Cricetulus griseus: one gene and its partners. The protein of the gene in region 1 interacts with the protein of each later gene in a biochemical or structural test. Links are inferred from orthologs where the notes say so. Each region holds a gene or a part of one and is shown in the gene's direction. Other genes may lie near its edges.

Evidence for each region.
Region 2: the proteins of Rab11fip3 (region 1) and Arf6 form a complex in vitro, tested with the Homo sapiens proteins (2 studies listed by BioGRID). The link is inferred for Cricetulus griseus from reciprocal best matches to the Homo sapiens genes RAB11FIP3 and ARF6.
Region 3: the proteins of Rab11fip3 (region 1) and Arf5 form a complex in vitro, tested with the Homo sapiens proteins (2 studies listed by BioGRID). The link is inferred for Cricetulus griseus from reciprocal best matches to the Homo sapiens genes RAB11FIP3 and ARF5.

The regions. Positions count from the first base shown.
Region 1 is NC_048600.1:45,609,237-45,616,764, reverse strand, and holds part of Rab11fip3 (rab11 family-interacting protein 3), read left to right. Parts: intron 1-3,078; coding exon 3,079-3,219; intron 3,220-4,774; coding exon 4,775-4,856; intron 4,857-5,093; coding exon 5,094-5,231; intron 5,232-5,424; coding exon 5,425-5,580; intron 5,581-5,707; coding exon 5,708-5,848; intron 5,849-5,942; coding exon 5,943-6,056; 3' UTR 6,057-7,528. UniProt on the Homo sapiens protein: Downstream effector molecule for Rab11 GTPase which is involved in endocytic trafficking, cytokinesis and intracellular ciliogenesis by participating in membrane delivery. Recruited by Rab11 to endosomes where it links Rab11 to dynein motor complex.
Region 2 is NC_048598.1:133,995,550-134,003,710, reverse strand, and holds Arf6 (ADP-ribosylation factor 6), read left to right. Parts: upstream 1-3,230; 5' UTR 3,231-3,410; coding exon 3,411-3,938; 3' UTR 3,939-6,657; downstream 6,658-8,161. UniProt on the Homo sapiens protein: GTP-binding protein involved in protein trafficking that regulates endocytic recycling and cytoskeleton remodeling. GTP-bound form plays an important role in the transport of multiple palmitoylated proteins form the Golgi to the plasma membrane.
Region 3 is NW_023276806.1:199,366,491-199,374,511, reverse strand, and holds Arf5 (ADP-ribosylation factor 5), read left to right. Parts: upstream 1-3,887; 5' UTR 3,888-3,985; coding exon 3,986-4,052; intron 4,053-4,573; coding exon 4,574-4,654; intron 4,655-5,171; coding exon 5,172-5,281; intron 5,282-5,638; coding exon 5,639-5,710; intron 5,711-6,160; coding exon 6,161-6,286; intron 6,287-6,406; coding exon 6,407-6,493; 3' UTR 6,494-6,902; downstream 6,903-8,021. Other genes in the region: Gcc1 (GRIP and coiled-coil domain-containing protein 1), read right to left, coding at 546-1,577.

The DNA.
Region 1 (7,528 bases):
CAGAAAAGTGAGCAAGGGTACTACTTGACTCAATGCATGTGAGATAGTTCTGTCCATCACAAGCAGTTGGGGAGGTACAGCTTAAAATGGAGAGCTGGGCATTGTGATGCATATGCACAATCCAAACACTTGGGGAGTGTAGGAGGGTCTCGAGTTCAAGGTTATTCTTGGGTATATAGTGTGTCCAAGATCAGCCTAGACTATATGAAATGGTATCAGAAATGGTACCAGCCAGTAAAGTGTTTGTCTTGGCAAACATGGAGACCTGGATTTTATCCCCAAATCCCATGTAAATGCTAGGCATGAGGACACACAGTTGTAATCCCAGAATTAGAGAGGTAGAAACAAGAGAACCCTTGGGCTTTGCTGGCCAGCCAGTGTAGCCTAATCGGGCTTCAAAGGAAGTGGACAGTGTTCCTGAGGATGACACCACATGCATTGACAACACACACGTGCTCATGCACTTGCATACACACACCGAGATTTTAAAATTTTTAAAACAAGGTGTTGGAGAGATGGCCTAGCAGCTAAGAGGATCCACGCTTGTTTCCCAGCACTCACACGGCAGCTTGCACCTCTCTGTAAATCCAGTTCCAGGGAATCCACCGCCTCGTCTGGCCTCCACAGACACTGCACACATGTGGTGCACAGACATACATGAAGGCAAAACACCCAGATAAAATAAAAATAAAACAAATCTTTCAAAAATTAAACAATAAATAAATCATGTGGGGAGGGGCTCAGTAGTGGAGCATGTGCTGTATGAGGCTGAGTTCCAGACAGACCCTCAAAGTTGGAGGGCGTCGCTGCACCCAGAGCCTTGAGGCCGCTTTTCTGGTTTGTTTTTTGTTTTGTTTTGTTTTGTTTTTTCAGAACAGGCTTTCTCTGTGTAACTTTGGCTATCCTAGAACTCACTTTGTAGACCAGGCTGGAGTCAAACTCACAGAGATCCACCTGCCTCTGCCTCCTGAGTGCTGGGATTAAAGGCTACAGGTCAGTTTTCTGAAGCACTTGGTACTCTTTGTGGAACTGACCCAGGGTCCATGTGCAGCCAGTTCATAGAATGGGAGCCTCTGATGACTCTGTTTCTGAGAACCTGCCCCAGGGAAAACATTCCAGCCGTGGCATTGGCCCTGTGTTGAGGCTCTTGCTCCCCTCATTTATCCTTCAGTAACTGTGGGAGGCAGACACTTTCTCTGTTTTCCAGATGAGAAAATGGAGTTAGTGCAGCTTACATGGTTGTCCAGGGCCTCAGAGGACAGCAGGGCTGTGGGGCTGAGGACAGAGCTCTGTCCTGGAGGAACAGGTAAGGAAGATCTTGTGCAGGGGCATGGCCTCTGCAGACCTCAGCATTTTCAAGCTGCTTAACCAAAAAGCAAATTGAACAGGAAGGCAAGTGGCATGATCTCCTCACATGGGCAAGGTGAAATGTGGCAGAGTTGCTGTCTGCATAGAGCAAAAGAAAAGAGGGGGGTTTTGAGAAAGAAATAAAGGTCATTTCAAATTCTTTAAAAAAAAAAAAAAGAAAAGAAAAGAGGCAGGAATGTGGTGAGTTCCAAGGGAGCCTGGACCACAGTGACATAAAAAACAAGGGGAGGGGGGCCAGAAATGAAAAGAAACCAAGGGGATGGAGATGTGGCATTTGCTCCTCTTGCAGAGGACTTGAGTTCAGTTTCTAGCACCTGCGTAGCAGCTCACAACTCTACAACTCCAGCTCCTCATGGGCATAAACTCACACGTGGCACACTTACATACATGGAAGCAAAACACACATGCACATAAACTAAAAATAAATCTTTTAGAAAGAACTGATAAGGAGCCATGTCTGGGGTCGTGTAATCCCAGCACTTAGGAGGTGGAGGCGAGGGGATCAGGAGCCCTTGGAGATGTGTTCTGAATGTGGCTGACCTTCCTAGGAAGGAGCCTGTGCTGCTGTTCTTTGTATTCCCTGGATGTCTCCATGTGGCTGTCAGGTTTCTGTGCTGAGCATTGACTTTCAGTCTTTAACTCTGAGAAGTGTGTGTGTGTGTGTGTGTGTACAGATTGAGGCAGTTGGTTTTTTCCTACCCTGTGGTTTCTGGGACTCAAACTCAGGTAGTTAGACTTGATGGCAAGCACCTCTACATGCCAGGCCATCTTGCCAGCCCTTCAGAGAATCCTAAAGCTCTGTCTACAGTCTCGTCTCTTCATTCTGGTCATGGTAGATATAGTCGAACTTTTTCTTCATTTTCATAATCTCTAATGTTACCACTTTGTCCCTTACTAGAGTCAGCTGAGGGTTGTGTATATCCTGAGTTATTTTGTTGTTGTTGTTATTTTGAGACAGGGTTTTTTTGTGTAGTCCTGGCTGTCCTGGAACTTGCTCTGTAGGCCCCACTGGCCTAAAACTCGGAGATCTGCCTGTCTCTGGGATTAAAGGTGTGTACCTCCGCACCTGGCTTTAAGAGTTGTTTTTAAATATGTTCTTCCCATAGTTTGCCACTCTTAGTTCCTCACAGCACCAGACATAAGGCTTTCCAAACTGTAGATGCCTGTATGACGTGTTTGTTCATTGTGCTACCAGACTCCTGTGCTGTCTGGTGCTCTTAACTGGTCTTCATTCTTGTACAACAAAGAGGAGCTAAGGTGTACATGCTGGGGCTATGGCTTTTTCACAGCTGTGGGTGAGGCTGGCAGTACTTCTCTCAGGGATTACCCCTGACTGTCCCCAGTTTGTAAGAGGCCAGAGTCTCAAGCCTTATCAGGGATCTTCTGTAAGTGATCCTGGAGGGAACTAGGTGCACAATGAATCCTTTTCTCTAGGTGCAGCTCCACCACAGCCTTTGGGGTCCACATGTACCAAGCAGCTGGTCTTGCCCCTCAAGTGTCACCACATCTAACTGTGCTGCCAATGAAGTCTGTACTTGTGTTAGCAGCGTGGACTTGCTGTCACAGTTGCTTTCTACACACTGCTGCAGCCCTCAGACCCCAACACTTTCTGGCTCTTTCTTCAGGCCTTACTTATCTGAGTTTGTAGTGGTCTCACTGGGACAGCTTTCATATACTTTACAGATATACACTTCTCCCCTTTTCCCTTAGAGCCAATGCCCTGGAAGAGCAACTGAAGGAGCAGGAGCTCAGAGCCCAAGAGAGGGTCCTGGAAGAAACCAGGAAGCAGAAGGAGCTCCTGTGTAAGATGGAACGTGAGAAGAGCATTGAGATCGAGAACCTGCAGGCCAGGTAAGCAAAGCTCTGGAGCAGGCAGCAGAAATCTGTCAGCCTGGAAGATAGAAGGAGAAGCTTCATAACAGAAAAGGGGCACTCACATGAAAAGATGCCTAAAACTTCTTATTTATTTGTTTTTTGAGACAGGGTTTCTCTGTGTAGCAGCCCTAGCTGTCCTGGAACTACCTCTGTAGACCAGGCTGGCCTCGAACTCACAGAGACCCTCCTGCCTCTGCCTCCTGAATGCTAAGATTAAAGGCATGCACCACCACTGCCTTGCCAAAACTTCTTTTTTTAATTTTTAGATTACATTAATTCATTATGTGTTTGTGTGTACACATGTACAAGTGTGGAAGTCAATAGGACAACTTGTAGGAACTGGTTCTCCCCTACCATGTGGGTTTTGGGCATTAAATTCAGGTTCAGTTGAACATAAGGCCAGCCTGGGAAACAGAGACTTCATCCCCCCAACCCATCCCCAAAATATCAACTTTTATTTTAAGAGAATTTGGCAGAATTAATTTTGTGTTCACTTGGAACTGACACCATGGGTGTTTGGTACATTAACAGTCATAATCCAGGAGAAACTGATAACGGAAATATCCATATACACTTACACACTGATGGAACTGTGCCAAAGGGACACTGGAGCCAACTGAAAGAGCTTCCAGTGACCAGAGCTGCGAATGGCAATGGTAACAATCCCATGGGAGGATAGACAGGGTGTAAATGAGACGGGCAGGAGTCCTCAGCCACACTGTCAGCCTGTAGATAGAAGACAAGAGTCTTGCTCTCATAGAAATACAAATAGTGTCTGCATACTCCCCTCCAGGAGCTTGTGTGGGGTCCCTCTCTGGAGGTATAAACTAAGGGACCAGCAGAGATACCTACCTAGTAGACACAGCTTAACCAAGTGACCCATGATGGTAGTGGGAGTGTGACAAGGACCTCACTATGCCAAAAATTTCCCTAAGCACCCCTGCCATACACACAAGTCTATAAACACCAAAAACTAGTCTGAGGCACATTTTGCAGAATATATGTCCAAGATTACCGCAGTATGACAGTCTGGGAGGCACACAGACCAGAAAATATAAAAGACATAAGGATAATGTGTGAAGACCTAAGGTTTGGTGGAATGTGTGCATTGATTAATAGTGTGATCCGGCTGAGCACAGGTTGTGATGTGGCACAGTGACAAGCAGGAAAACCAAAACAGACACTCTGCACTTTCTAGAGTTTTTAAAGTCATCATGGCCAGTGCAAGGTAACACATACCTGTACTCCTAGCATTTAAGAGGTAGAAGCTAGAGGATCAGGAATTCAGGATCATCCATGTCTACACAGGAAAGTTGAGACCAACTTGGGTTTCATAATACTCTATCTCAAAAGACAAAAAACAGACAACAAAAAAGCTGGGTAGTGAGGTAAAGACTGGCCATGCAGTTGGGATTATTGTGGGTCACAAAACAGTTCCCAGGGTGTGAGTATTCCTCTAGAGCTAGGCCTTCCTTGTCCTTTGGAGACACATTTTAGGCGGAACATGCCCTAACCTGTTCTTGTGTCCCAGGTTGCAGCAGCTGGATGAGGAGAACAGTGAGCTGCGGTCCTGCACACCTTGTCTGAAAGCCAACATTGAGCGCCTGGAAGAGGTGAGCTCCTGGCCTGGTACTTGTGGGAAAGGCCCTGCCTGGAATGAAGACTGTCCTCAACCCTCTGCCTGACAAATCAGTATGGTCTTCTGGGGGGCAAGGGTGGGGCAGATTGGTAACTCTGTCATGAACTGAAAGTGGGAACTGTAATGTCTGTCAGTGGACTGGGAGTTAGGCTGTATATACCGGTAAACTGGTGCCATTAGTACCTGTCCACACTGGTGTCTGTTTTTGCAGGAGAAGCAGAAGATGCTGGATGAGATTGAAGAGTTGACACAGCGTCTCAGTGAAGAACAGGAGAATAAGAGGAAGATGGGGGACAAGCTGAGCCATGAGCGGCACCAATTCCAGAGAGACAAAGAAGCAACTCAGGAGGTGAGCAGGGCCATTTGTCCCTCCCCATGTTCTCATATTGTCGAATGCTGCCTGTTCCCTGACAGAGGCCAGGAAACCCTTTTGTTTTCTAATACTCTGGTATGCAGCAGCCTCTTAGAACACAGGTCAGCACCTTCCCAGGAGAGGGTGGTCAAGCCAACTAACAGGAGCCCACCTTGTGGTTGCCTCACAGCTGATCGAGGACCTCCGCAAGCAGCTAGAACATCTGCAGCTCCTCAGACTTGAGGTGGAGCAACGACGAGGCCGCAGCAGCAGCCTGGGCCTGCAGGAGTACAACAGCCGTGCGCGGGAGAGTGAGCTTGAGCAGGAGGTCCGCAGGCTCAAACAGGTGTGTTCTGCCTTTCCACCTACCCTCACAGAGGCTCATGAGAGGGGGCAGCAAGATGAGGTCCTTCCTGGCAGCTCCTTGTCCCAGCAAGGGGCATAGCCCAGTGTAACACTGCCATGTCCCCTAGGACAACCGCAACCTGAAGGAGCAAAATGATGAGCTAAATGGACAGATCATCACCCTCAGCATCCAGGGTGCCAAGAGCCTCTTCTCCACGTCCTTCTCTGAGTCACTGGCTGCAGAGATCAGCTCTGTCTCCCGAGATGAGGTAGCTTGTCCTGCCTTTGTATACCCCTAGGTGTCTGTCTGTTCTGCACAGGTCCCTTCCTTTCACTGTATACTGACCCTTTGCTTTTCTGCAGCTCATGGAAGCAATCCAAAAGCAGGAGGAGATCAATTTCCGCCTGCAGGACTACATTGACAGGATTATTGTGGCCATCCTGGAGACCAACCCATCCATCCTAGAGGTCAAGTAGGACATCTTAGCCCAGTTTGGGCTGGTTATAGACTCCACAGCGCACCAGAGTGACTGAGCCAAGACCTGCAGGTCCTCCAGTTTACCAAACCTAGAGTATACGGGGCCTCATGCAACTGGACTGGGAGAGTAAAGATAAGGGCTGCAGTAAAGAGTAAAGAACAGTAAAGAGGAAGAAAGGGAAGTCGACAGCAGACAAGGAATGAGGCTGGGCTCCTTGAATGTCAGGAAGCCAGGGCCTCCCACCGTAAGCTGGCCTAGCCAGCAACATCCATGTCTGCTCAGCAGAATGAAAATGTGTAGGGATAGTCTCTCAAGCTGGGAGGGGCCCCTCAATGACTCTCTGACAAACCCCTCTTCCTGCTATGCAGCCTGTTAGGAAGAGAGGGAGAAAATGAATCCTCACCTCAGTTGCTGCCTCTCACTCATGTTGACATGGTGCCACCCAAGCTTGGCCATTCCCACATGGTATGCAAGCTGAGGACCCACAAGTTGGACATAGACATGGTAGTTCTGGAAAGACAGGCAGGTAAAGATGGCATATGTGGGATCTGGTCCGGAGCCACAGGCTACCTGTTCTCCTTGCGCTGCTCAAGCCTTCTCCCACCAGATGGGCTTCCATTCACCTTTGGACCTAGGGCCTCCAAGCCACACAGCCATTCTTTGTCCAGACTCTCACACAGTAACTCGTCAGCTCTGGTCCTCTTGTGGGGGCTAGGGCAGCTAGTTCATGCTGACTATGGAACTCACTTCCTGGACTGGTCAACACCCAGGTGCAGGTGCTGCTTCTCCTCAGGTGTGGCCTACCCTGGCTCCTGGACCTACGCCCTCCTCAGGCTGACTTTACTGCCTTGGGAAAAGTTGACATTTCCCAGACAATAGTCTAGGCCTCTGAAACAAAATTTCCTTCTCTGCTTTTGACTTTAAGTCCCTGGGTGTGCCCCAGGAGTCATTTTGCTGGTGAGTAGGTAGGTGGACAAGGCTCTACACAGACCTAGAGGCAGAGGAAGGAAGGCTTGCTGCTTGCCCCTGCACCACTCTCACAGAGTGCAGCATCCATGGGCCTGAGCCTGAGCACTAGCCCGGGAATCTGGGCACACTGAGTGAGACCACACCATAGGCTGTGTGTGTGTGTGTGTGTGTGTGTATGTGTGTGTGTGTGTGCATGCATGAGTGTGCACACAAGTATGAATGTATGTATGCTTGTGCCCACACATGCTGCCCTGCATCCCTTCACTGCCTATCCCCCGCCCTTGCGTACCTTCTACACTACGGTTTAAGATGTTGCCTCGTATTGTACATTTTGGGGAAAGCCTTGTGTGTAAATCAGTGTAAACTTGGAGGAGAGATTTTTCTATCATGTAGAGTAGGTATTTTTTATAGATTGAAGGTTGATCAATTTTTTAATACTTTCCAGAGAGAAAACTATCTGTGTATACATATGAAATATATATATATATATATATGTATAAT
Region 2 (8,161 bases), on another chromosome or scaffold:
CTCCTCCAAGGCTCAGAGAATGGCATGGAAGAATCTAAGATCCTGGGAAGGAGAGGGAGAGGATAGGATAGAGTTCCAAGTATGGCATGGCATGGCATGCCTGCTGGCACTCTTGAACTCCGAACTCTTGAATGGCTCTGTTATGCAGCCATGATTACCAACCTACATGAGACTGGGTCTGTTAATGCCCTGTCATGGAGGTGGGGAGGGGCCCTTGTATCTCTCTTCTTCCAAATTCATATGAAATTAACAGTTGAAAGGGGAGGGAGGGAGGGAGAGGCATGTTTTAAGGGTCGTAGCCACTGGTAAGGTGCCCATGTTGCTGTAAACAACCCTAATGAAACTCACTGTGTCACAAAAAAAAAAAAAAAAAACCGGGTGGGTGTGTGGTGGTGGTGTGGTGGTGGTGGTGGTGTGGTGGTGTATACCTTTAATCCCAGCACTTGAGGCAGAGGCAGGCAGATCTCTGAGTTCAAGACCAGCCTGGTCTACAAGAGCTAGTTCCAGGACAGCCTCCAAAGTCACAGAGAAACCCTGTCTTGAAAAACCAAAAAATTAAAAAAAAAAAAAAAAAGGCAAGAAAGTAGAAGGGGGTCTAGTTGGAAAAAGGAAGCCAGTAAAAAGGGGATTAAAATAAGGTAACTGAGGGTGAGTTTTGTTGAAAATATATATATATCTGAAAATGTCAAAATGAGACTGATTGTTATGTACCACTAATATGATAATAAAAAATTCATATAAAATTTATTGGCTAGATGGAATCAAGAAAATAAAATGTTTCATCTGTGGTATGGTTTAGTAGTTTCCTAAATTGTTGCCACTTGAAAGTATTTTTGTATATTAACATTTAGCTTAACTTAAAACAAAACAAAAAACCAAGAGCTCACTATGTAACCTTGGCTGTCCTGGAGCTTGGTCTGTAGACCAGGCTGGCCTCAGATAATCATCAGCCTGTGCCTCCCGAGCCCTGGGGTCAGAGGCACACACCACCTTACATTTTTAAAAATAGGTCTTATTCGGTGTTTCGTGTGTGTGTGTGTGGGGGGGCGAGAGCTACTGGAGTTCAGAGGACAACTTGTGGGAATAAGGTCTCCTTTAACCATGTGGATCTCAAGGATTGAATTCAAGTCCGGAGTGGTGGCAAGTGCTTTAATCACTAAGCCATCTCAAACAGCCCCCAAATTGACCTATTTTTAGAAAGTGGCATGATATTCCAAGTTTAAAATTTTCACTATCAGTGACTATGTTCTTGCCATTGTTAATTGTTTTGTATTATAATTATTCTTTAATAGTTTGTTATTGGGGCTGGGGAGATGACTCAGAGGCTAAAAAGCACTTGCTCTGTAAGCACAAATACCAGAGTTCAAACCTTCAGTCAGCACCCAAGTGAAAAGCCTGGTGTGGATTCAAGTACCGGTTGTTCCATAAGTGGGGTCACACCAGTAATCCTAACCCTATCCCCTCTCCTCGGAGGTGGAGGCTGGAGAATAATAATTTCAAGAACATCCTGAGCTATACACAGTGAATGTGATGCCAGCCTGGGACTCCAGCCTGAATTAAACATTAAATGTATTACGTGTCAAATGGTGACAGCCTAGGCCTAGGCTGGCCTAGAATTTATGCCTCACTTTCATCAGTTCGGGGACAGGCTGAGCCACCTTGTCTCGCTGGTGGCTACAGATTTTCTTAGGTTACAAAATAGAAACAGTATTATTATCAAACGCTGTTGTAACAACTTCTTTTAACTTTCTTTTCTCCCCTTGTGTTTATTTCTGCCCTTATTTGATATTTAAAGTTTCTATTCTAACCTTAACACTATTCATTTAATACAAAAAATGTTTCCAGGACCAGCTGGCTTAGCAGGTGAAGGTGGGGGCCGCCAAGCTTGATGACTTTTGAGTTTGATAGCTAGGACCCGCATGGTGGAAGAATTGACTCTGGCAAGTTGTCCTCTGACCTCTCCTGCGCACACGGACACTAAATGAGAAAGTATTAAAAAAAAAAAACCGAAACAAAACCCAAATAGGTTTCCTTATTGTTCGTGCAGCCCAGAGGTCAATTTAAGGGAGTTTTCTCCTTTCACCCTATGCGTTCTGAGCCTGGGGCACAGGTCCTCATTGTCGTCGGCCCTGATACTCTTTTCCTAAGAAACGTGGGCGGTTCCGACGAGACTTACAAAGAGAAGGAGTTTAAACGTTCCAAAGCAGGGTTTCGGAGCAAACCCAAGACTAGAAAAAAGTGAGGGCTACTTTGACGGACGGCTTCGGTGGCACGCCGACCTCCCACGTGTCTTCCAGGAAGCTGGAGGAAGTCGGGAGGCGACCGGGTAGAAAGGAGACCGTGTTGCTGGCAGGCTGGGGCGAGCGGGAGGGACGTTGCGCGGGGAGTCTGGGAACAAGCCTCGGCAGCGTGGGTGGGGGCGTCGGTCTCCAGCGCCGACGACGCCCACCCCGCAAGCGGCTTTGCACCCCGCGCCTCCGAGCGGCGGAGGAGGAAAAAACCGGGGAAGACCCCCCGGGAGAGCGACAGGTGGGCGCGTCGCCAACCCCGCGCCGCCGGGCTTCCGCGAGGCGCCTCCCTGGGTCCTGCGAGCCGCCGTAGCCCCGCCCCCCGGCGCGTGGCGCCCGTGACGTTGGGCGCGCGGGCCACCACTCTCCTTACTGAGGTCGCGCTCTTCCGAACGGTCGGGCCGAGTTGCGCACGCGCAGTCGGGAGGGGAAGTGAGGCGGTTTCCTCGGCGCCTTTTCCGGCGGCAGCGGCGGCGGCGGCAGAGCTGGGAGGAGGAGGAGGAGGTGCAGGCCGGAGGGAACCCGCGCTCGGGGCGGCGGCGGCGGCAGCTGGAGGTAACCCTCCCGGGCCGATCCCCGACCGGCGGGCCGCGTCGGCCTCCGCACCCACGGAGTCCCGGCGGTAACTCCCTTCTTCCCTTCTCTGTGTCCCTGCAGGCAGCACCGAGTTCCCGCGAGGATCCATGACCTGACGGGGCGCGGAGCCGCGCTCCTCGTCGGGTGACCCGGGTCGGTGGCGAGCCCGGTGCTCGCGGGCCGGCGGGAGGGCCGCGGTTGAGCCGCCGCGTGCCGAGGCGGCGGCGGAGCTGCTGTCGGCGGCGCCTGCGGGGGAAGGGCAGTTCCGGGCCGGCCGCGCCTCGCCTCGCCTCAGCAGGGCGGCGGCTCTCCCCGGCGCAGACGCAGGGCCCGGGCGGCGGGCGATGCCCGAGTGAGCGCAGGCCGGGCCCCTGCCCCTAGCAGGCAGCTTCGCGCAGGCCGCACGCAGGGCGTCCTCGCGCGGGGGCGGCTCCGTTTCGATCTCGCGGCGGTAGCAGCGGCGGCGGCGGCGGCAGCGGCGGCGGCGTTATAGGCTGAGGGGACCCGGGACACCTGAATGCCCCCGGCCCCGGCTCCTCCGACGCGATGGGGAAGGTGCTATCCAAGATCTTCGGGAACAAGGAAATGCGGATCCTCATGCTGGGTCTGGACGCAGCCGGCAAGACAACGATCCTGTACAAGTTGAAGCTGGGCCAGTCGGTGACCACCATTCCCACGGTGGGTTTCAACGTGGAGACGGTGACTTACAAAAACGTCAAGTTCAACGTGTGGGATGTGGGCGGCCAGGACAAGATCCGGCCGCTCTGGCGGCATTACTACACCGGGACCCAGGGTCTGATCTTCGTGGTGGACTGCGCCGACCGCGACCGCATCGACGAGGCCCGCCAGGAGCTGCACCGCATTATCAATGACCGGGAGATGAGGGACGCCATAATCCTCATCTTCGCCAACAAGCAGGACCTGCCCGATGCCATGAAACCCCATGAGATCCAGGAGAAACTGGGCCTGACCCGGATTCGGGACAGGAACTGGTATGTGCAGCCCTCCTGTGCCACCTCCGGGGACGGACTCTATGAGGGGCTCACATGGTTAACCTCTAACTACAAATCCTAATGAGCATCCTCCACCCATCCCCCGGAAGGAGAGAAATCAAAAACCCATTCATAGGATTATCGCCACCATCATCAACCTCTTTCAATTGCCACTTTCTTTTTTGAATCTGAACTCTGGAGTTACTGTTCTACGGTTTAGTGGGGTTGGGGTTTCCTCTTTTTCTTTTTCTTTATTTTTTTCTTTCTTTCTTTTTTTTTTTTTTTTTTGGCTTTGCGTTAGGATGCTCTGATCTGATATTTGACACGAAAACAGTGCTAGATGCTCTTGTGACTTCCAGCAAACGGGGTGGGGTAATAGCAGCTCTTGGTAAAATCCTTTATAATAATGGTTTGATTTTTTTATGTCGAGAGAATCTTTTTTTCCCCCCAATGTATGCTTTTTTCCTTTTTGCCCAGTTTCTTACCACTTGCTGTAGATGGCTTATTTTGCATTCATGCAGACTATGTTGCGAGTCTGTTTCATCTAGTAAACTGAAAATTATTGCTTAATCAAACTGCCGTTTGTCTTTTATATTTAAGGCCTTCCCCCTTTCCTTGTTAGTGCTAACTTTAGCAATTTCAAATGTGACCTTTTATATCCAAGACCAGTATGGTGAACTTAGCCCACAGTGGCAAAATAATGAGTAATACCAGTGTAATGTTCCAGTTGCACATCAGTGTGTGAAACAGGTAATGTAGGGAATCCCTTCAGGTGTCAGCTATTAAAGTGCATGAGTAGGAGTAAACTCAAGTTCCCTCACCATAGCTAACGTACGCTGCATAAAACAACTCACCTCTACAAGGGGGCAGATCTTTTAAACTGCAAAGTTAGTAACTTTGCTATTTCCCTCTCTTCTTCCTTTAAAAATAGACTCTTTCCAGAAAATGGAGCAATAATGGTGTACGCCACACAGATGAAATATTTGTAGATATTTTAAGTGACTTTCGGGCAAAATCGGCATATGTTACCTTGTTTCAAATCTCTTAAGACAAGTAGCTTTAAAATTACTAAACATTTACTTTGTTCACTAATAAAACATTTAAAAAGTCAAATTATATGCACCTTTTCCTAGCTGGAAAAAAAATACACATTCCTGTTTTCACATTACAGCAACTGATTAAACTGAAGATATATGACTTTTTTTTAAATAGATGAGTGATCTACATCTCCATTAATTAAAACACTGGAAAAGATGTTTTATTTAAAAAAAAGGTATTTAGTTTTGCTTGATTGTAGTATTAACTCATGCAAATAGATATCCTGTTGGTTCAGTCGTAGATCGTCTCCTTTAAGGAAGAAATGTGCTGAATGAGTGATGGAGACTGGAGGGGTGACACAGGGAGTAGGATGACGAGAAAGAACCTACAGATGACAATGAATGTAAATTTATTTTTCTTTAAGGGTAAGCATTGTGCTCTCTGGTGATATCCAGATCTTAACAAGATGAGCTGGTTAGGACCAGTTACTAGATTGAGACCACTATGGTGATAATTTTGAACCAAATGTTAATGTTGATTCAGAATTGTGAAGCAGCATCTGGTTCTTGTGTAGCCTTAAGGATTAATGTAGTGATCCTCAAGGAATGAAACTTAGGGAGTTTCGGAAATGTAGACTGCCAGGGCAGGATACAGGAAAAGGTGGAATGGTTCTGTTTATGAGGGTGTCTGAAAACTAAAGTCAAGCCGGATATCATGGTATCGTTGGACAGTATTGGTCCTTCATGTTTTGGCCATATTGTATAATGGAGCTTTTACCAAAGATGTATGAGAAACAGAAGGCTATACAAAAATGAGCTGTAAGTAAAACTAACTAAAAGCAGATGAGAAAAGGTGCTATGTTGTAGGCTCCTATTGGTGCAGAGGGATTTTGAAATCAAGACGCAACTAAAACCTAAAGTTCTCAGTTTCACATTAATAAAAATATCTCTAGAAATGAAGCTGATTCACATATTTAAGAACATTATAGTTGCTTTTAAAAATTCCCAAAGCTCCACCGTAAATGTAATTCTTAGTGTTTTAAATGATTACATTTTAAGGTACATAAATATGGTTATACAAATATCAATGCTACAGTAACATCCTGAAACAAAATAAGCACAAAGGTATAAATGCCTAAACTGGAGGAAACTTGAAACCCTCATGTTGATTCTTAAATGTAGTATTCTAACTTGTGACAGACAGATTGGTAGACAGCCATTTTTTTGTGTGTCTTAAAATAACTGGGGGCATAGTTAAAATTTTATACAAGTGATTGCTATTACTGAATGTTGCAGGTGAGATGGGTTATTTTTAGTTTATTTGAAATGTCTGAAAAGGGTGGGAGGGGGGAAACATTTGAAATTTGAAGAAAACCTAAACCTTTTGGAAAGAAACTGTAATTTTCACTTACATTTCTTTAAGAGTATATATAAAAGGTTTATAATTGATGTAGTTAAATTGAACCATAACCATTGGTGATTATGAAGCAGGAAATTAGAGCCTGCAGAAAAAGTTATAATGGAAGAATTACAAAAATAAGGTCCTAAAGATTTTGTTTAATTGCATCAATTTCTGTATTTGTGTGAATTTATAAACTTGCTAAGTTCTGAATGAGGTTAATCTTGTCTAATATAAGTAAATGAGTCTGTAGACTGTGATTCCCCCTTCCCCCAGCTAAAAAGTACAGTCCTTGGAATTGTTCTTTATGGTTGTAGTGTTGCTGAAGCACTAACATGCAGAAAATAAAGGAATTACACAGTGCAGTTTCTCACGTTATGTTACTTGGAGTAGATAAGTGGGATGTACTGGTATCTTGGGCTATGTTATTTTCCAGGATATATGGTAAAAAGTGAATTTGAGACTCATCTGACTTATAAAAGATAAAAAAGATTCTCCCCTAAATAGTGGCTATTTAAGGTGTTTTCTGTTTTAATTTTACCAATCCGTGTTCTGTGACAACTGAAGGTATTTAGGCCTCCCTTCCCCTTTGTAAAGACTAGGCAGGTGTTCCACCACATTGCTGGCTGGATCCTTGACTCTTTGCTGTAGTTTTCATTTTGAGATAGGGATTTAGTTGCTCAGGTGGACTTTGAACTTGTGATCCTTGCTCCATCCTAAAGTTGTTAGGGCTATAAGCCATCTCCACTGCAGGTGTCTATTTTTTCAAATTACAGTCTTAGCATTTTGAAAGTACAAAATTGTGTTTGTAAGGAATTGGCTTGCAGAGTTCTTTTTTAGTTGTCTTAATCTTTAATAGAGTTGGATTCAAAAATTCTTTGAGTTCAAAGTTGCTTGTTTGATTATAATTGTAGCCATGTGAAAGGCAAAATTGTGGATGAATAGCTTGAAATCATTTAAATATTCTTGTAAGCGTTCCCTACACTAGTCAAGTTTTTTTTTTTTTTTTTTTTTTTGTAGTTTGATTCTAATCTCATTGATGTGACATATAGTATGATTTAGATCATACATTAAGACTGGGTTTGTTAGTGCCTACCTGTAATCCCAGTACTTGAGAGATGGAGGTAGGAGGATCAGAAGTTTGAGATCAGCCTGGTCTATATGAGATCCTGTTATAACTAACTAGCTAATAAGACTCATTGATACTTCTAGTATATCTGTTACTGTGACTTACTGAGATGTCAAAGGTCAGTTTTTCAGTGGTAACAGTAGAAAATACTTTCTAATGGTTTGGAATACTTTAGACAGAAATTGAGCCACTGTATAGTTTGAATAGTAATATTTATCTTCTACATTCCAGTTATTATCTTGTTCTCTCCCTCTGTCTCCTCTGTCTGCAGCTTGTAGTCAGATAAGTCTTGTCTCTTAGACATAATAATTATATTTACAAACAACATGTAGAATTTTTTAGTATTTTTCATATCAGACTAATCACAGCATACCATATTTGGAGCCTAGCTATCAACAGAGTAGTATTTTGCTTGCTTAACCAAATGGCTGACAGAAGAAGAAGTGATAGTACTCAGAAGTTTATATTATTGAAGTATTATAAGGAGCTTAAAAAAAAATCAAGCACTGCCAGGCGCTGGTGGCACATGCCTTTAATCCCAGCACTGGGGAGGCAGAGGCAGAGGCAGGTGGATCTCTGTGGATCTCTGTGAGTTCAAGACCAGCCTGGTCTCAAGCTACACAGAGAAACCCTGTCTCTGAAAAACCAGGAAAAAAAAAAAAATCAAGCAGAGCAACTTGTTGTTTTGCCAAACTTTAAAGCTGTCAAACTAGTTGAACTGGCAGGGAACACTTGTGGAT
Region 3 (8,021 bases), on another chromosome or scaffold:
ATGTGGAACCGGACTGCAATCCCAGCACTCAAGAGGCCAACAAGCACCAGGCCATCCTGACTAAAGCAACTAGTCAAGTCCCCAGCACTTTGTAGCGAAAAGCAGGCAGATCTCTGTGAGTTCAAGACCAGACTGGATTACATGGGGGGACCCTGCCTCATGAAACACACAGAGAGAGAGAGAGGGAGAGAGAGAGAGAGAGAGAGAGAGAGAGAGAGAGAGAGAGAGAGAGAGAGAGAGAGAGAATCTATTCTAATGGCCAAAAGAGAACAATAATAAAACCCTAGTATTTCCTAGTTAAGTTTTTGGGTTTTTTTGTTGTTGTTGTTGTTGTTTGGGTTTTTTTTGTTTGTTTGTTTTGGTTTTTTGAGACAGGGTTTCTCTGTGTAGCTTTGGAGCCTATCCTGGCACTCGCTCTGGAGACCAGGCTGGCCTTGAACTCACAGAGATCCACCTGCCTCTGCCTCCCGAGTGCTGGGATTAAAGGCTTGCGCCTGCCCCTAGTTAAGTTAAAATAATGGTTTGACGGATATGAGAATAATTACCTTCCTCATTTCTTGCTGCAGCTGGGCCTGGAAATGGCTTTTAAGACGGGCAGCCTCTTGCTGAAGCTCTTGCAGCCGCGGGTCTGGTCGGTTCTTCTCATCTTGAATGGCTTGCAGCTCACCTTTCAGCTCCTCTACCTCACGGGTCAGCTGCTTGGTCTGCAGTTCAAAGCCTTCTATCTGATCAGCTGCATATGCCCGCCCTGCCAGGGCTTCTCTGGTCTCTTCTAACCGAAGTTCCAGGTCCTGACGCTGGGTCCTTTCCTCCTGCAACAGCTTCTGCAGCTCTCGCAGCATCACAGCGTGGTCACTCTGCTCCTGGGCGCGATCGTGCTGCTGTGTGATAAGTCGGGCTTTGGTTTCTGCTATCTGCTCCTGCAGCCCCTTCAATTCTCCCACCAGACGGTCCCTCTCTTCCTCTGCCTTTTTATTGGCATCCTCTAGGTCCTGTTTCATCTTCTTTTTGTCTGCCAGGTAAGATGCCTCCATACGGGACTTCTCCTGGGTGACTGTAGCCAAGGAGCTAGTCAAAGTAGCCAACTGAGTCTTCAGCTGATGTAGTCTCTTGTCCATCTCACTCCCCGCAGATGGCCCATCCCCACTGCTACTACTAACGCCACTCTCTGACCCACTGGCCTCTTCGGACTTTAGAGGAAGTGGTCCACGGGCCATTCTGTCATCTTCGACCCCAAACTCACCCTTGATACTCGTAAGACTGGCTGCAGTATCCAAGCTAGTGGCAGTTCCGGTGCTATCCTCACTGTGAGTGGAGCAACGATCATCCACAGAGTCAGGGAGCGTGAGACCTGGAGGCTGCACACTTGCAAGGCCTACATCCGCCTCATGGGATACCGACAGCACTTTGATGCTGGCCTCCAGGGCCTCTTTCTCCTTCAGTAGACTTTTATAGGCCCGGACCACATCCTTGAGTCTAGCCTGGTACTGGAGGAGCTGCTTTTTCTGTGTCTCTATAGTCTCCAGCAGGTCCTTTTTGCTTGGGCCGCCCCCGAAATTCATTCCAAACTTCTCCATGGGGGTTCTGGAGCGGTTTGCTCCACCTCAGTGTTCTGGCAGCCGTGGACAGAGCCTCAAAAACATCTACAAGTGAAGTAGAGAGGACCGTCTGGCCGCAGGCCGCACACCCAGCTGTCCGGGCGGGTTGAGGGGCCGCGGTAGCCAGGCAAAAGCGCTGCCGAGCCGGACCCAAGGTGGAAGCCGGTTCCAACCTGGAGGCGGGGCAACGCTGGCCCAGCAGAAGCGCTCAGCCTCGGCTCTCCAACACTGGCCCAGAGGCCGCTCCACCCCAGCCGCTCCGCTGACCACCAAACCCAGGCCCGCCCACCTCCGCCCAGGATCGGCCCAGGGTTTACACTAAGCTCCGATCCATCTCGATTTCCTAACTCCGGCCGGCTGGCAGCACCGCTTCCGGATCCACTGGAAATGACGGCAGCAAAACGCCACAGACCCCGCCTCCAAGATGCGCGAGGTGGGCGGGGCTTCCGCAGCCAGGGTGCGCTGACAGCCTGGAGAGGGAGTAACCAGAGGGGATGGTTGGGAAAAGCCAAGTCCGGGACACCTGAGCAGTGATTTGGAGAAGATGCCTAACTTTGCCCCCAAACTACCACCAGCGAGCGACAGGGGGCGACGTCGCACTGCGTTTGCCCCAAAAATCCCGGGTTGGAAAGAAGCGTACAACTATTTGGGGCAATGTCCAATATATCCCTAAAAAGCAACAGGACTCATACTAGAAAAACAAGCCCAGCACCTGGCTAACATAAAGCAAAAATAGCCCGCTTCCTTAGTTCTGCTTTTAGATGGACACTAATATAGCTATAAGGTTTATCTTGAATATTGGTATATGGTAGGGGTCTCACAAGAGTTTTTGCTGTTTATTCTGTTCAGAGGATATCATAAACACCAATTTACAGTTGTGGAAGCATACACTGCACAGAGGTGACTTATCCAAAGCCATTCAGCTACTGCTAAGTTTAAGAATCCTACCTCGGTCCACTTCTCAAGGTATTAAGTGCCACGCCAGGCAGCACCCTGAAGAAACATGGTCTTGCTGCCAAGAAACTTGTCACAGCAAGGAACCAGACATGCAAACAAGTAGACCCTGCCCTCACACTGGAATGTGTGGGCATCGTCAAAGTGGTATAAAAGAGATGAAGATGCCTGTCTAGAAGGATGGGGATTCTCGGGGAGAACATTTTTGGGATTTGAAGAATGAGTAAAGACTGCCAAGCAAATTCAAACGTGGGAAACCAGTATCAAAGAAAGTGGAAAAGTTTACAAGAATCATTCCTAAACAGTAGCGTGGGGTGAGAGAGGCGCAGCTACTGATGAGGCTGGAACAGGTAGGACCCAACTTAAAGGCATTTCATCTCGGGCGTCGACACATTAAAAGATTTAATCTCAAGAGGACACCGTCGAGACTCTTGTGGGGCCTGTAAGATGGCTCAGCAGTAAAGGCACTTTCCACCAAGCCCCAACGACCTGACCAGAGTTCTATCAAGAGAACCCACATGGCCGAAGAAGAAAACACATCCCACAGGAGGTTGTCTTCTGACTTCTACACCACGCCCCCCCCACACACACACACACACACACGAGAAATAAAAGTGGGGAGGGGCTAAAAAGCAAGGCTCCTGTGACATTGTGAAGGCACCAAGGGGGCGGGAAGCCTGTGAGGAGACTCAGGCATAAAAAGAGACTAGTGAAATAGTAGTGACAACAGGGATGAAGAGAGTATTTCTGTTCTAAGAATCTTCTCGGGAGGCCAAGGCAGCCGCATCTCTGTGAGTTCGAGATTAGTCGGGTCTACACAGCAAGTCCCAGGCCACCCAAAGCTAGTGACGTAGTGGGCACAGTGTCTCCAAACAAAAGAGAATAAACTACTCTGAGAATTTTTTTAAAAGATTTATTTATTATGTATACACACATCAGAAGAGGCCACCAGATTTCATTATTGATGGCTGTGAGCCACCATGTGGTTGCTGGGAATTGAACTCAGGACCTCTGGAAGAAGAGCCAGTACTCCTAACCTCTGAGCCGTCTCTGCGGCCCCTACTCTGAGAATCTTTTAAAGCTATTTTTCGAACCTGTCAGGGCCTTCTTAGGAATTCAAGTCTATGACCGAAGAACATAGCAAAATCCCGCAGTGGTCCTAAGACCCAGGATTACTGCGCCCTTTCCAGCCTCGGCCAGGGAAAGGTAGCCAGGCCTCGCTAGACTTCAGTTCTTCCGCAAACGTGCTTGGGGGCGGGGCTGGGGCGGGCCCGGAGGGGCGTGGCCACGTGACGTCGGGCGGGCCCGGACGCGCGGAGGCGGTGGCGGCGGCGGCGCCTCCTCCTTCTGCTGTTGCGCCCCATCCCCCCGCGACCGGCCGGTTCCAGCCCTCACCCCGCGTCCCTGCCCGCGCCCCCGCCCCGGGCCCCACCATGGGCCTCACGGTGTCCGCGCTCTTTTCGCGGATCTTCGGGAAGAAGCAGATGCGGATCCTCATGGGTGAGGCAGATCGAGCGCGCGGCCCGGATGGGGCGCCGGCCCCGCCGCAACCCTCCCGCCCCCGCGTCCCTCCAGCCCCGCTCACCTGGTACCCTGACCCCGAGACACCCCACCGCCCGAGCCTCTGGGGCTGCGCTCGGGTGCAGGCCGGGATCTGCGGTGTCCGCCCCGGGCCTGGAACCCGGAGCTGGGGCCTGGGTGGGGTGACGCTTCCTCCGCCCCAGCCCGGCTGCTAAGCAGGGAGGATTCCGCCCTTGGAAACGACTTTTCAAAGGAACGCGGCCTTCCTCCCGGGCCCCCCACCTCTCCTGCCCCTCTCGCCCCTCGGCCGCTTGGGCGGCAGGAGTTGGCACTCGCCACCCAGACTGCCCTCAAGGCCCGGAAGGTGGAGAACGGCTCGCACCTGGAGGCTCTCCCGCTCTCCGCCCCCATCACCATCAGCTGGCCAGTCCTCTCCCTGTCCCTGGTCTCTAGGGGGCTCCCTCGCTCCCGTCTCCATTCTGTGCCCCTCTCCGTTGCAGTTGGCTTGGATGCGGCTGGCAAGACTACCATCCTGTACAAACTGAAATTGGGGGAGATTGTCACCACCATTCCCACCATAGGTGAGCCCGGGAACGAATGTCGCCTCGGGCCTTCTCGGGGTCTGCTCCTGGTGCTGCTGAGGCCCTTATCTGTTCCTGACCCTGACACCAGATACAGCTACTTGAGAAGTGGGTCACGGTATCTCTGCGTGCCTGCTGGTGCCTGAGGCGTGGACCATGAGCCTAGCATATCTGTTGACCTCCGGTCCTTCTGGATTCTATTCCCATTGGCCTTGGTCATTGCCCCCTGAGTTTGTGTGCCTGTAGAGATCCGAGTGGGGTTTTTTTGTTTGTTTGTTTCTTGTTTTCTTGTTTTTGTTTGTTTGTTTTCAAGACAGGGTCTCTCTCTGTAGCCTTGGCTGTCATGGAATTCTCAGTAGACCAGGCTGGCCTCGAACTCACAATCCACCTGCCTCTGCCTCCTGAGTGCTGGGATTAAAGGTGTGCCACCACTGCTGAGCTGATCCAAGTGGTTTTAGTGAGTTCCTTTCAGGACTTTTTTTCTCTCTCTCTCTCTCTCCAAAAACATTGTCTGCAGGCTTCAATGTGGAAACAGTGGAATATAAGAACATCTGTTTCACAGTCTGGGATGTTGGAGGCCAGGACAAGATTCGACCTCTGTGGAGGCACTACTTCCAGAACACTCAGGTGGGGTGGGGACCGAGGGTAGAGGGACAACCCCAGGGAGAGGGTGGGACGGGCCTGGAATGAAGTATTGGCTGAGTCCTGGGCCCTCATCCCTCTCCCCTTAAGAACTCCTCCTTAAGAACTCACCCTCATCTTATTCTGGGAGGCAGGGTTCTGGGCTATGCTGCCTCCTCTAGCTCTCAAACAGAACATCTTTTTGTTTGTCCCCTCTGTCTTTGGGGCACAGATCCTTAATAGAAATGTACTGGATGAGAAAGGCTCATACCACTAAAGATGGGAGAAATGAGAAGAAGCCACATTGGGGCTGGGCGTAGGTGGGCGTGATCTCTCCTGCTTCCTTTCTTCCTTCCCACTCAGGGCCTCATCTTCGTGGTAGACAGTAATGACCGAGAGCGGGTCCAGGAGTCTGCTGATGAACTGCAGAAGATGGTGAGTGTCCAGATCAGAGAACTGAGCTTGGTGACAAACAGTTCTCTGAGGTGGTATGGAAGTCCAGTACTCTGTGGGTGGGGAATAGGAGATTTTTGTGGCACTGGATGAGTTGCACCTCACCCAGTTTGGCAGGACTTTTTCATTTAAATCCCTTTCTGTCTGAGTCTAAGCAGTTGGGGAGAGGAAGAGGGGTTATCTGTGGTAAAGAGAAACAACCTCTCATGTTTCTTGTTTTTCTTTGTTTTTTAATGTTCTGCATTTTGTTTGAAGGCTTTCTGGAGGTAAAATTTAGGGGTAAAATTTAGGGGCTTTGCGCTCATTTATAACTGCCTTCTATTCAGCAATAAGCTGCATAGTACTCTGTGTAGGGAACCCTGCTACAACATAGTCAGCAGGGGGCCCAGGGTCTTTGCAGCCATAGTTCCACCCTGTCTTCTCCCGTCTCAGCTGCAGGAGGATGAGCTTCGGGATGCCGTGCTGCTGGTGTTTGCCAACAAGCAGGACATGCCCAATGCCATGCCTGTGAGCGAGCTGACTGACAAGCTGGGGCTTCAGCACTTGCGTAGCCGCACGGTAAGGATCTTGTCCCCTTTGCACTGGGTCTGGTCTTTCTCAGGATCCCCAGGCTAGACCAAGGTAGAAAGGTACTCCTTGTCTTCCCTGATGCTGATCTACCTCTCTTTCTTCCTACAGTGGTATGTCCAGGCCACATGTGCTACCCAAGGCACGGGCCTGTATGATGGGCTGGACTGGCTGTCCCATGAGCTGTCAAAGCGTTAGCCAGCCAGGGGCAGGCCCCTGCTGCCCGGAAGCTCCCGCGTGCATCCCGGGATGACCAGACTCCCGGACTCCTCAGGCAGTGCCCTTCCTTCCCACTCCTCCTCCCCACAGACAGGCCTCTGCTCCTGCTCCTGCCTGCATGTTCTCTTGTCGTGGGAGCCTGGAGCCTCGCTCTCTGGGCACAGAGGGCTCTGCTCTCCTGCCTGCTGGGACCTGTGGATGGGCTTCCTGGCCAAGGCCCCCTCTTCCAGGGGAGGAGCAGGGATCTGGATTTAATTTCATTTTTTTTTTTTTCTGTTCTGGGTGTACCCTTGGGGCCACGTTTGGGGGGAGGAAAGTGAGGGCTCCGGGTGGTGCTATGACGTGGAACTGGATATTGAGTAATAAATTTGCTGTGGTTTGTACCCGGTGTTGTCTGTAGCCTGGAAGTTGGAAAGCTGAGTTACTGTGGGTACAAAAAGACAATATGGGAGAGGCTTAAAGCCCCTGAAGTTGTGAAGTCAACACATGTAAGCTTCTCCCTGTAGTGTTTCCAGGGGAGGAAATCAACTTCATCCTCCATTCTGAGGACGGTTATTTAGGAGTGTGAGTCCACCTCATTCCACAAACCACAGAGCCTACTATTTCCTGTCTCTTACCCAGCTGTGTAGCAGTTCTTCATGGTAGCTTTGTACACGGGGAAGAAATGGACATTAAAAAGATTAGTCCCAAGACACTCTTAAGAAAAATGATCGATCTGGTCTGAAGCCTTCCCCAACAACATACATGTTTAAAATTACCCAAATGATTCCAGCACTGGGCAGCATCTATTAGCCTTTCTTTACGGAACACCAGTGGAGCCTTTGCTGGGGACCACTGGGACGCTATACCTGGGAAGACCCCATCTATGCAGAATCAGGAAGGACATGTAAATGCCATGGCTCTGGGCTAGTCTCCAAGCAAAGTTGATTGCCTTTTTCCCTGTGGATCCCAACGAAGCTTAAACAAGACCTGTTGTCCCACTGTTTCTTTTTATGTACCTCTTTCCATATTTGCGGTTTGTCTAGGCTCTAAGCTGAGGTTTTCTCCTTGAGCTTTGCCGGAAGTGATCCAGCAGAGCCCTTTGGGAGTGGGGCTGGTATCTTTTCAGGCAGAACTGGCTTTTTGCCCAGTGGGTTCACCTGTACCACAGCCAGGGTTGGTGAAGCACAGTGCTGGAGTTCCCTCCACCTAAGTCATTCTTTCTGAGCCTTTGAAGTTATGAGAGTAATTTCATCCTCAATGGTTATGTATCCATTTCCCTCACCTTCATTGCAAAGTAGTTTCCAAAACATTTTGACCTTGTCTTCTCAAGGTCCGTAAAGACTTGAACTTGAACTTAAAAAAAAAAAAAAAAAAAAAAAAGAAAAGGAAGGGAGGGAGGGAGGGAGGGAGGGAGGGAGGGAGGGAGGGAGGGAGGGAGGGAGAAAACTTGGGCTATGGAGAACCTAGCAGAACCCTCTTGTTGGGAAGCAAGTAGGTTGATTCCTATCTTGTTAATAAGAAAGGG